Linked DNA regions of Ovis aries. The protein of the gene in region 1 interacts with the protein of each later gene in a biochemical or structural test. Links are inferred from orthologs where the notes say so. Each region holds a gene or a part of one and is shown in the gene's direction. Other genes may lie near its edges.

Evidence for each region.
Region 2: the proteins of VDR (region 1) and HR form a complex in vitro, tested with the Homo sapiens proteins (2 studies listed by BioGRID and IntAct). The link is inferred for Ovis aries from reciprocal best matches to the Homo sapiens genes VDR and HR.

What each region holds. Positions count from the first base shown.
Region 1 is NC_056056.1:138,722,946-138,726,755, forward strand, and holds part of VDR (vitamin D3 receptor), read left to right. Parts: intron 1-3,276; coding exon 3,277-3,461; intron 3,462-3,632; coding exon 3,633-3,747; intron 3,748-3,810.
Region 2 is NC_056055.1:43,491,649-43,495,440, forward strand, and holds the end of HR (lysine-specific demethylase hairless), read left to right. Parts: intron 1-929; coding exon 930-1,094; intron 1,095-1,505; coding exon 1,506-1,634; intron 1,635-1,773; coding exon 1,774-1,836; 3' UTR 1,837-3,057; downstream 3,058-3,792. UniProt on the Homo sapiens protein: Histone demethylase that specifically demethylates both mono- and dimethylated 'Lys-9' of histone H3. May act as a transcription regulator controlling hair biology (via targeting of collagens), neural activity, and cell cycle.

The sequences.
Region 1 (3,810 bases):
GTAATGGTATTTTTAGTAGCAATTTATTGAGAAAATTATTTTCTAAGCATCCTATGAAATTAACAACCCCTTTAAGGAAATGAACTATTTTATAAGTCACAACAATATCTGCATATGTGAGAGGCTTATAGCTTATCTAGTCCCCTGCCAACGTTGCCTGCAGGGAGGTCCATGGATTGGCAGCCTTCATCTGAAACCAGCAGACCTTAGTGGCTCTTCCTCTGGTACTGCAAACAGGGTGATGGTTGCTATTTGCTAGAAATGACGGAGAGGAGAAATGCCATAAGGTTAACCTCAAATCTCTTAACGTTATCCTTTTAACGTAAATCACTTACAAGCCTTGCTACTTTATTTAATCATTATTTTCGCACACTCTTTGGGTGGATCAGAACACCTGTGTGTCATGACTCCACAGTTGAAGACCAGAGTCTGGCTGAGCATTCACAGCCAATTATAGTCATAGGCAGTGCGGAGTAGTGGTTAGGACACTGGCCTCTAGAACCAGACTGCTCAGACCCGACTCCAGCTCTGCCTTGTCTGTTTGCTCTGTGACTTTGAGCAAGCTTGATAGCCTCTCTGGCTCTCAGGTTCCCTCACCTGTAAAATGAGGATAACAGCATCTGCCTTAAGGGTTATTATAAGGACCAAATAATGTGAGTTAATATGTAAGAAGTACTTGGAATAGTGCTTGGTACATTAAAAAAAAAAAACTTTATTTTTATTAACAATGTATTTATTAATGGCATTTTTAATGACATACCGCTTGATCACCAGAGTTTCTGGCTCCCAGAAGATTAGAAGTAACTGTTAAGGAGGATAAAAGTACACTCCAGTAAGAAGAGACATCACATAGCCTAAGACAGCAGGATAGACTGGTTGGAAGAGTAAGACAGGAACTCAAAATCATGGCAGACTGAGTCACACAGTGCAGAAAAACAGACCCCTATGGCTCTGAGGTCATAGCCTTATTCCCGCAAAGTCCAGTAATTATTCAGAACGATGCCTCTGAACCATCAAGCAAAGGTCACCTGATGTTGCAGGTGCTCCGTTACAAGGGGTTCTGTCTTGAAAATACTTGTCACAAGTATTTGAAAATGTAAACTTTGCTCAGCGATCTGGTGGACTGGTAGGTGGAGCGTGCCATCCTGAAATTGTAGGGGATGGGCATCATTGGTGCACGTCCAGAGGATGACCAGCACACAGTAGGTACAGTCAATGCTGATATGTTGGGTTTCCAGTGCATCAGACCACTGAGGATGCCCCACTGGGCTAGCCTTGGCATGGGAGATATAGGCATTGTAAGATGCAGCCCCCATCCTTAGATGCCCTGCAGTTCTAGTGAAGAAGACCTTGAACTTAGGCTCTCTCTATTGCAAGTATTTATTGGAACCTATAACCATAGATGGGACAGAGTGAAAAAAGATCGGGTGCTGATGTGTGTGGGAAAAACTGCTCCTTGCCGATCAGGGCAATACAGAAGCCTTTGTGGTACAAGAGGGTGTGAGCTGGGTGCTGGGGAACTGGTAAATCTGCATGGCTACTGGGGAGAGAAGGCCCAGCTGGACAGGCAGATGGCGCACGGGGAACGTGCAGATGGCAGTGGCAGTAGAAGCGGGTCCTGTTCACAGGCCAGCAACCCCAGTGCAGCCAGACCAGCTGCTGCGTCAAGACCCCGGCAGTGAGGTTGGAAAGTTAGGAAGAAGGGAAATCACCAAGAATCTTGGCTTCACGTGGGGCATGGTAAGCAGGAAGGATTCAGAAGTTTCTGAGCAGGACAGTGACGTCATAGGATCACAGGGGATTATGAGAGCCCCGTGGGGCTGAAAAGCACCCCTGTGGGCAGCCAGAGCCGTCCCCCCAAGCCCAGCCTCATCGCGTCCTGCGCCTGCCCCTCAGGTGAACAGGAAGGACTCTGTCCCTAATCTTGGGCTCCCCAGGCTAGCGTCTCACACCCTGCCTTGAATGGGGTGCTCCCTGCTCCTTCCCGCTCCCGTCTGCTGTATCTCTTGGGGTCTGAACTGACACCCTCTGTGGGAGGAGGGCGGGCAGCTCTTTGGGCAGGTGAGTCAGTAACCTGGGCGTGGCCTCCGCCCAGTCTTCCTCTAGGTACGGTTTACCTCAGCTCTGGAGGGAACGCGCCATCTTCCGCCACCGGCTTCCCTTTCCTGCGCTGCCCACTCACACCCACCACAGGCTCTCCTTCCCTCACCCCCACTTCTCTCGTCCTACCCCCACCCGAGAGGCCAAGGCCCATGGGCCTTTCCTGAAGCCCAGAAGCCACCCACTCTGGCATTCTGGTTCTTTTTCTTGCTCTTGTGAAACGCTCGGTTCTGTGGGCAGATGCCCTGGCAAGACTAGCACAGAGCAAGCAGCTACACGCCGAGGGCCCCAGTGCCCACTCCTGCCGTCAGCGCTCTGCAAGCCCCGGCCGGGAGGTCTGTGTGCCAGGTCTGCTCCCGGCCCCACCCTCCCGGCAGTCACCCAGCACAGGGAGGCTTGGAGCCCCTGCAGTCAGACACCCTGGTTAGCCACTGGAGAGAGCTTCCCAGATAGAGCTGTGAGCTGCTATCTATCCTCAGGGACTTCTGAAGGACTGGAAAACTTCCTTGGGCAGAAATTTCAAGACTGGAAGGACTGAAGGAGGGCTTGTTCCTCCTCTTAGGAGGAACCTAAGAGGCAAAGTCTGTCTACATTGGTCAGAGTAGATCACATGCCTGGAAAGTTACATGGGGATGACCACGTAGAGGGGTCTTCTCAGCATCTCCTAGCTTCTGACACTGGGACCCTGCACCCTCCCTCCCCCTGAGTGAGCATCTGCTCTGTGCTGGGCTGCATTCAGGTCTCAAAGCAGTTGGTCCTTTGAGGTAGGATCCCCACACCACATGCTTCCTGGAAGAAGGGACAAAAAGGGATCTTAGGAGAGATCCTATGGTCCAAACTCCTCATTTTAGAAATGAGCAACCAGAAGCCTGGAGAGTTCATTCTGTTCAGAGTCAGACATCTTGTTCTTGGGATCCCAGTCTCCTTAATGATGCCCAAGCATCCTGCCTCCCAAATCCTCTGTTTCCTCCTCTCTCATGCTCCTGCCTTTTCAACATACAGCACCCACTCTTCCATCCATATCATGGGCTTTGGGTCCCCGTGGCAGGATGGCCTGGTGAGCTCCAAGTGCCAGGGCCCAGCCCCTCCCATCTGGGGCCTCTACACCTGGAGGAACTTTCCTTGGAGGCACTGCAGGCCCCGTCCTCCTGACACCCCCCTCCGGCACCCCCACAGTCATCCTGACTGATGAAGAGGTGCAGCGGAAACGGGAGATGATCCTCAAGCGGAAGGAGGAGGAGGCCTTGAAGGACAGCCTGCGGCCGAAGCTGTCGGAGGAGCAGCAGCGCATCATCACCACCCTGCTGGACGCCCACCACAAGACCTACGATGACACCTACTCCGACTTCAGCCAGTTCCGGGTATGTGAGCTGGAGGGCGAGGGGATCTGGGCACAGCACCTGGGGAGGGCTGGAAGCTGCTCTGCCCTCTGACCCTGGGGAGGACTGCCCCTCCTATAAACAAAAGACCAGGGCTGGGGGAAGAAGATGACCTCTAATGTGGGCTTCTGACACTCCTCCTTTCCCTTCCAGCCTCCAGTTCGCAAGGATGAGGACGAGGGGAACCATGCTTCGAGGTCGATACTCACTCCCAGCTTCTCTGGAAACTCGTCCTCCTCCTGTTCGGATCACTATACCTCCTCTCCAGGTGAAGCGGACAGCGCACTCCCTCCCCAAGGACCTAGAGCTTTCCCAGCCCACCTGCCCTTGG
Region 2 (3,792 bases), on another chromosome or scaffold:
CGGAGGGGCATAGCCTCACTGAGAGGCCTGGGAAACACTGCTCAGATTCCAGGTCGGACTTCTTGGCACCTGCCTGGGATTACCCTACAGTCCAGCCTATGGTCCAGCCTGACTCATCAGCCGGGTCTTGGATGTCTGAACCCTGAGCCCAGGGATAATGGCTGAGGTCCTAACTGAAGGGCTTGGAAGGAGCTGGTGGGCACCTGGAGCACAAGGCTGGGTTCCCCTGGCCCCTGGCCTCCATGAGCCCCCGTCTGCACAAGAGGTCCCCACTCTGGTTGGAGAGGGGCGGGGTGGTAAAGGCCCCCCAAAGCTTTGCCTACTTCAAAGGCCTCAGCCTAGACAGTCTAGGTTCATCCACTGAGAGTCAGAACTTCTGAGTCTGGATCTGGGATCTTAGGAGAATCTGATGAAAGCTTCAAATTGTCTTCCTAGGGACATATGGCTACCTACTCACCCACTTTAGCATGCAGTTCAGGATGTCCCAGGATTCCACCAAGTTAAGAGCTCCACCAAGTTAAGAGCTCCTGGCATAGACGGTTTATGAGTTGCGATTCTCCAGGATGTCTTCCTGGGTTTTGGAGAACGGAGTACCTTTGGAGGAGGGAGCAGAGAGCCCAGGGCCAGAGACACAGAGGCTATTCAAGCCATCTATCCCCAGGAAAAGCAGAGATTTGGACCCTCTGCCTCAGACTCTTAATCCTTCCTTCTGATCTTCCAGATCTCTGCTTTGCTGGCCTAAGCGGCCCCAGGCCCCAGTACCCGGGTCCTGTCCCCGTCACCTCTACATCCTCCCCGACCTGCCCTTCAAGACTCTACAGCTCCTACCTGTGTCTCTGGCCTTTGGGAAGCCCACGCCCCATCTTCCTGCAGCCCTACCCTAGCCTCTCCCCCACTCCACTTGCTCATCCCTCCTTCTCTTCTTTGAGGTGTGCCCCACTGGGGCAGGAAACCTGGAGCCTGGTACCCCTGGCAGGTGCTACCTGGACGCAGGGCTGCGGCGGCGCCTGCGGGAGGAGTGGGGTGTGAGCTGCTGGACCCTGCTGCAGGCCCCCGGAGAAGCTGTGCTGGTGCCCGCGGGGGCTCCCCACCAGGTGCTTCCCCAGCGCGTGCCAGTGGGGGCTCTCTGCAGAGAGCTCAGAGTATCAGAAGCAGTCCCCAGGCTGTTACACCCTCTGTTTTTCCTGCGGAGCTAGGCAGAACAGGAAGTCATGCCTCCATTGGAGGGAAGAGGAGAATCCTGTGGTCTTGAAGTCATCAAGCTTACTGGGCATCAAGCTTATCCCTTGATGTCTGCTCTGCCTGCACCATCTCTGGCATCCCTTTGGCCTACTTTTGGCCACACCCTTTGTGGTGCCCCTTGCTGGATCCAGGACATCCGCTCTCTGAGAGCTGGTTGGGTGGGGCTCATTAACCAGAAGTAGAGCTCAGGGATCAGAGGGGCAGGATGCGTCACCCTGAGTCTCCATTGACCGCCCCCCCGACCTGTCTCCTCCCTGGCACAGGTGCAGGGCCTGGTAAGCACAGTGAGCGTCACTCAGCACTTCATGTCCCCTGAGACCTCTGCCCTCTCTGCTCAGCTCTGCCACCAGGGGCCCAGCCTGCCCACTGACCACCGCTTGCTTTATGCCCAGGTGAGTGGAACACTGGCCAGGAGCCTGGTTGTGCTGCCCAATTTCGCCATCAAACAGAGCTGGGTCCAGGGAGGGCCTTCTTGGCAGGGTGAGCCCAGGGGCATGACTGTAAACTCCTTGTCCTCTCTCTTTCTCCTAGATGGACTGGGCTGTGTTCCAAGCAGTGAAGGTGGCTGTGGGAACATTGCAAGAGGCTAAATAGGGGTGGGAGGTCCCAGGTGTCTGGGGTGGAGGTCAGGGGCAGGCATGGCTTCAGCAGAGAATGGCACTGGGGAACTTGGGGACTTTGGATCAATTCCGCACTCTGGACACAAGCAGGCACCACGTTCCCTGCCCTTGACCTGAGCCCTGATGCCAACAACCACAGTGCCACTGAAGCTTACACCTGCCCTTTGCATACTGGCACTTGCTCTGCCCCTAAGCCCTTCTCCAAGTATCAGACCCAGACTGGGGGGTGATTGTCTCCTAACCCCTGCCCCCAACCCAGCAGACAAACAGCCCTTCCCTGGGGGACCTCAGACATCATTCTGGCTTAAGCGACACCTTCTGTTGCTGCTTCACCTCCTGCTGTCTCCTGTGTCTGAGCTCTGCTCATACCACCCACAGCCTCCTGGGCTCCCAGAGGCCCTTCTCCCTGCAGGTGTGCTAGACAAGGGGTCACTGACATCCCGCCTTCCTGCCACAGAGCTGTGAAGTGTGGGGAGGGGACGGCCTCAGGTCACCATCTAGGCTTGGCCGGAGGGTGCGACAGATATGGGTGAGGCCCCATCCCTGCTCCCTCCTCTGCCTCCTTCCTTCTGGATTTCCATTAAAGGCTGTTGTTTTGTGAATGCTGCCTTGTGGTTGGCCCTGCTCCTGCAGGCCACGTGGACAGGGAGGGAGGGGGACACCTGGAACTGGAGCAGGGTGGGAGGGGGCTGAAGCAGTGGTGACAGGGACCTCAGACACCCCTGCCTGCTCTTCTTAGGGTGGGGGAGGGCGCTGTGTCCCTCCCTCCCACAGAGGAGCAAAGAGGGGCTGACCTTGAGGATGCTCCTGACAGCAGGCAAGGCGGAGGTCTCCGTCACAGCAGCATGGCATCTCCCTGTGTGACACTAGAGCCCCAGAAGCCCTAACTCACCTTGCAAACTTCAGGCCAAACATCTTTCCTGTCTGAACTGGAGCTCTGGGAGTCTGGCCCCAGAAAGCCCCTGACCAGCCTTTTGCCGTCGGTGCCCATGGCCAGCCCCATGCCCACTGGCTGGTGCTGGAGACAGCTGACAGTCCCTCCCCACCCCTAGGGCCCTCTGGTGTGGCTCCATCCCTCCCCTCTTCCTTGTATTTCTCACCCTCAACACGCTCTGACTCTTGTTACAATTGTTCCTGCGGTGGTTCTGGGAATGTTATTTTTTTTATGAAATAAAATTTTTTATTATAAATTTAATATACTTTCAGAACTTTTAGAAAATAAGAAAAAGAAACCTGTATACTATTTATCTCTACTCACCTTCAATCCAACCACTCTTATGTTGGTGTATTTCCTTTAGTTTTTTTTTTCTCCAGGGATCTGTTTTACACATGGTTGAATTGGGGGTGTTTTGCATTAAGTTTCTTTCTTTAACACTGATCATCATCATTTTCTGGGTTGCTCTCTAACCTTTGTTTTAAGAAAGTGTTAGTTGCCCAGTTGTGTCCGACTCTTTGCCATCCTATGGACTGTAGTCCACAGGCTCCTCTGTCCATAGGATTCTCCAAGCAAGAATACTGGAGTGAGTTGCCATTCCCTTCTCCAGCAGATCTTTCTGACCCAGGGATCGAACCCCAGTCTCCTGCATTGCTTCCAGATTCTTTACCACTGAGCCACCAGGGAAGCCAGTTTATTTTAAATGGTCACTTGTATTATTTTAGGCTTGGCAGTGATTTACATAAACATTGCCCATTTTTCCAAATAATTCAATTTCTTCCTTGTATGCAAGGCTAGGCTATTTTCATTTTTTTTCCTGGGATAGGAAAAGAAGAGAAAATTAAGGAACTACTGCCTTTGATGTGTCAGTGTTTTAACTGATCTCATTGAAACCTTTTATCATAACTTTGGGGTCGATATTATTTAATTCTGTTTTACAGAAGAGGAAAGAGGGAGGCTGGGGTTAAGTCACACCCAAGGTCACACAGCATCACC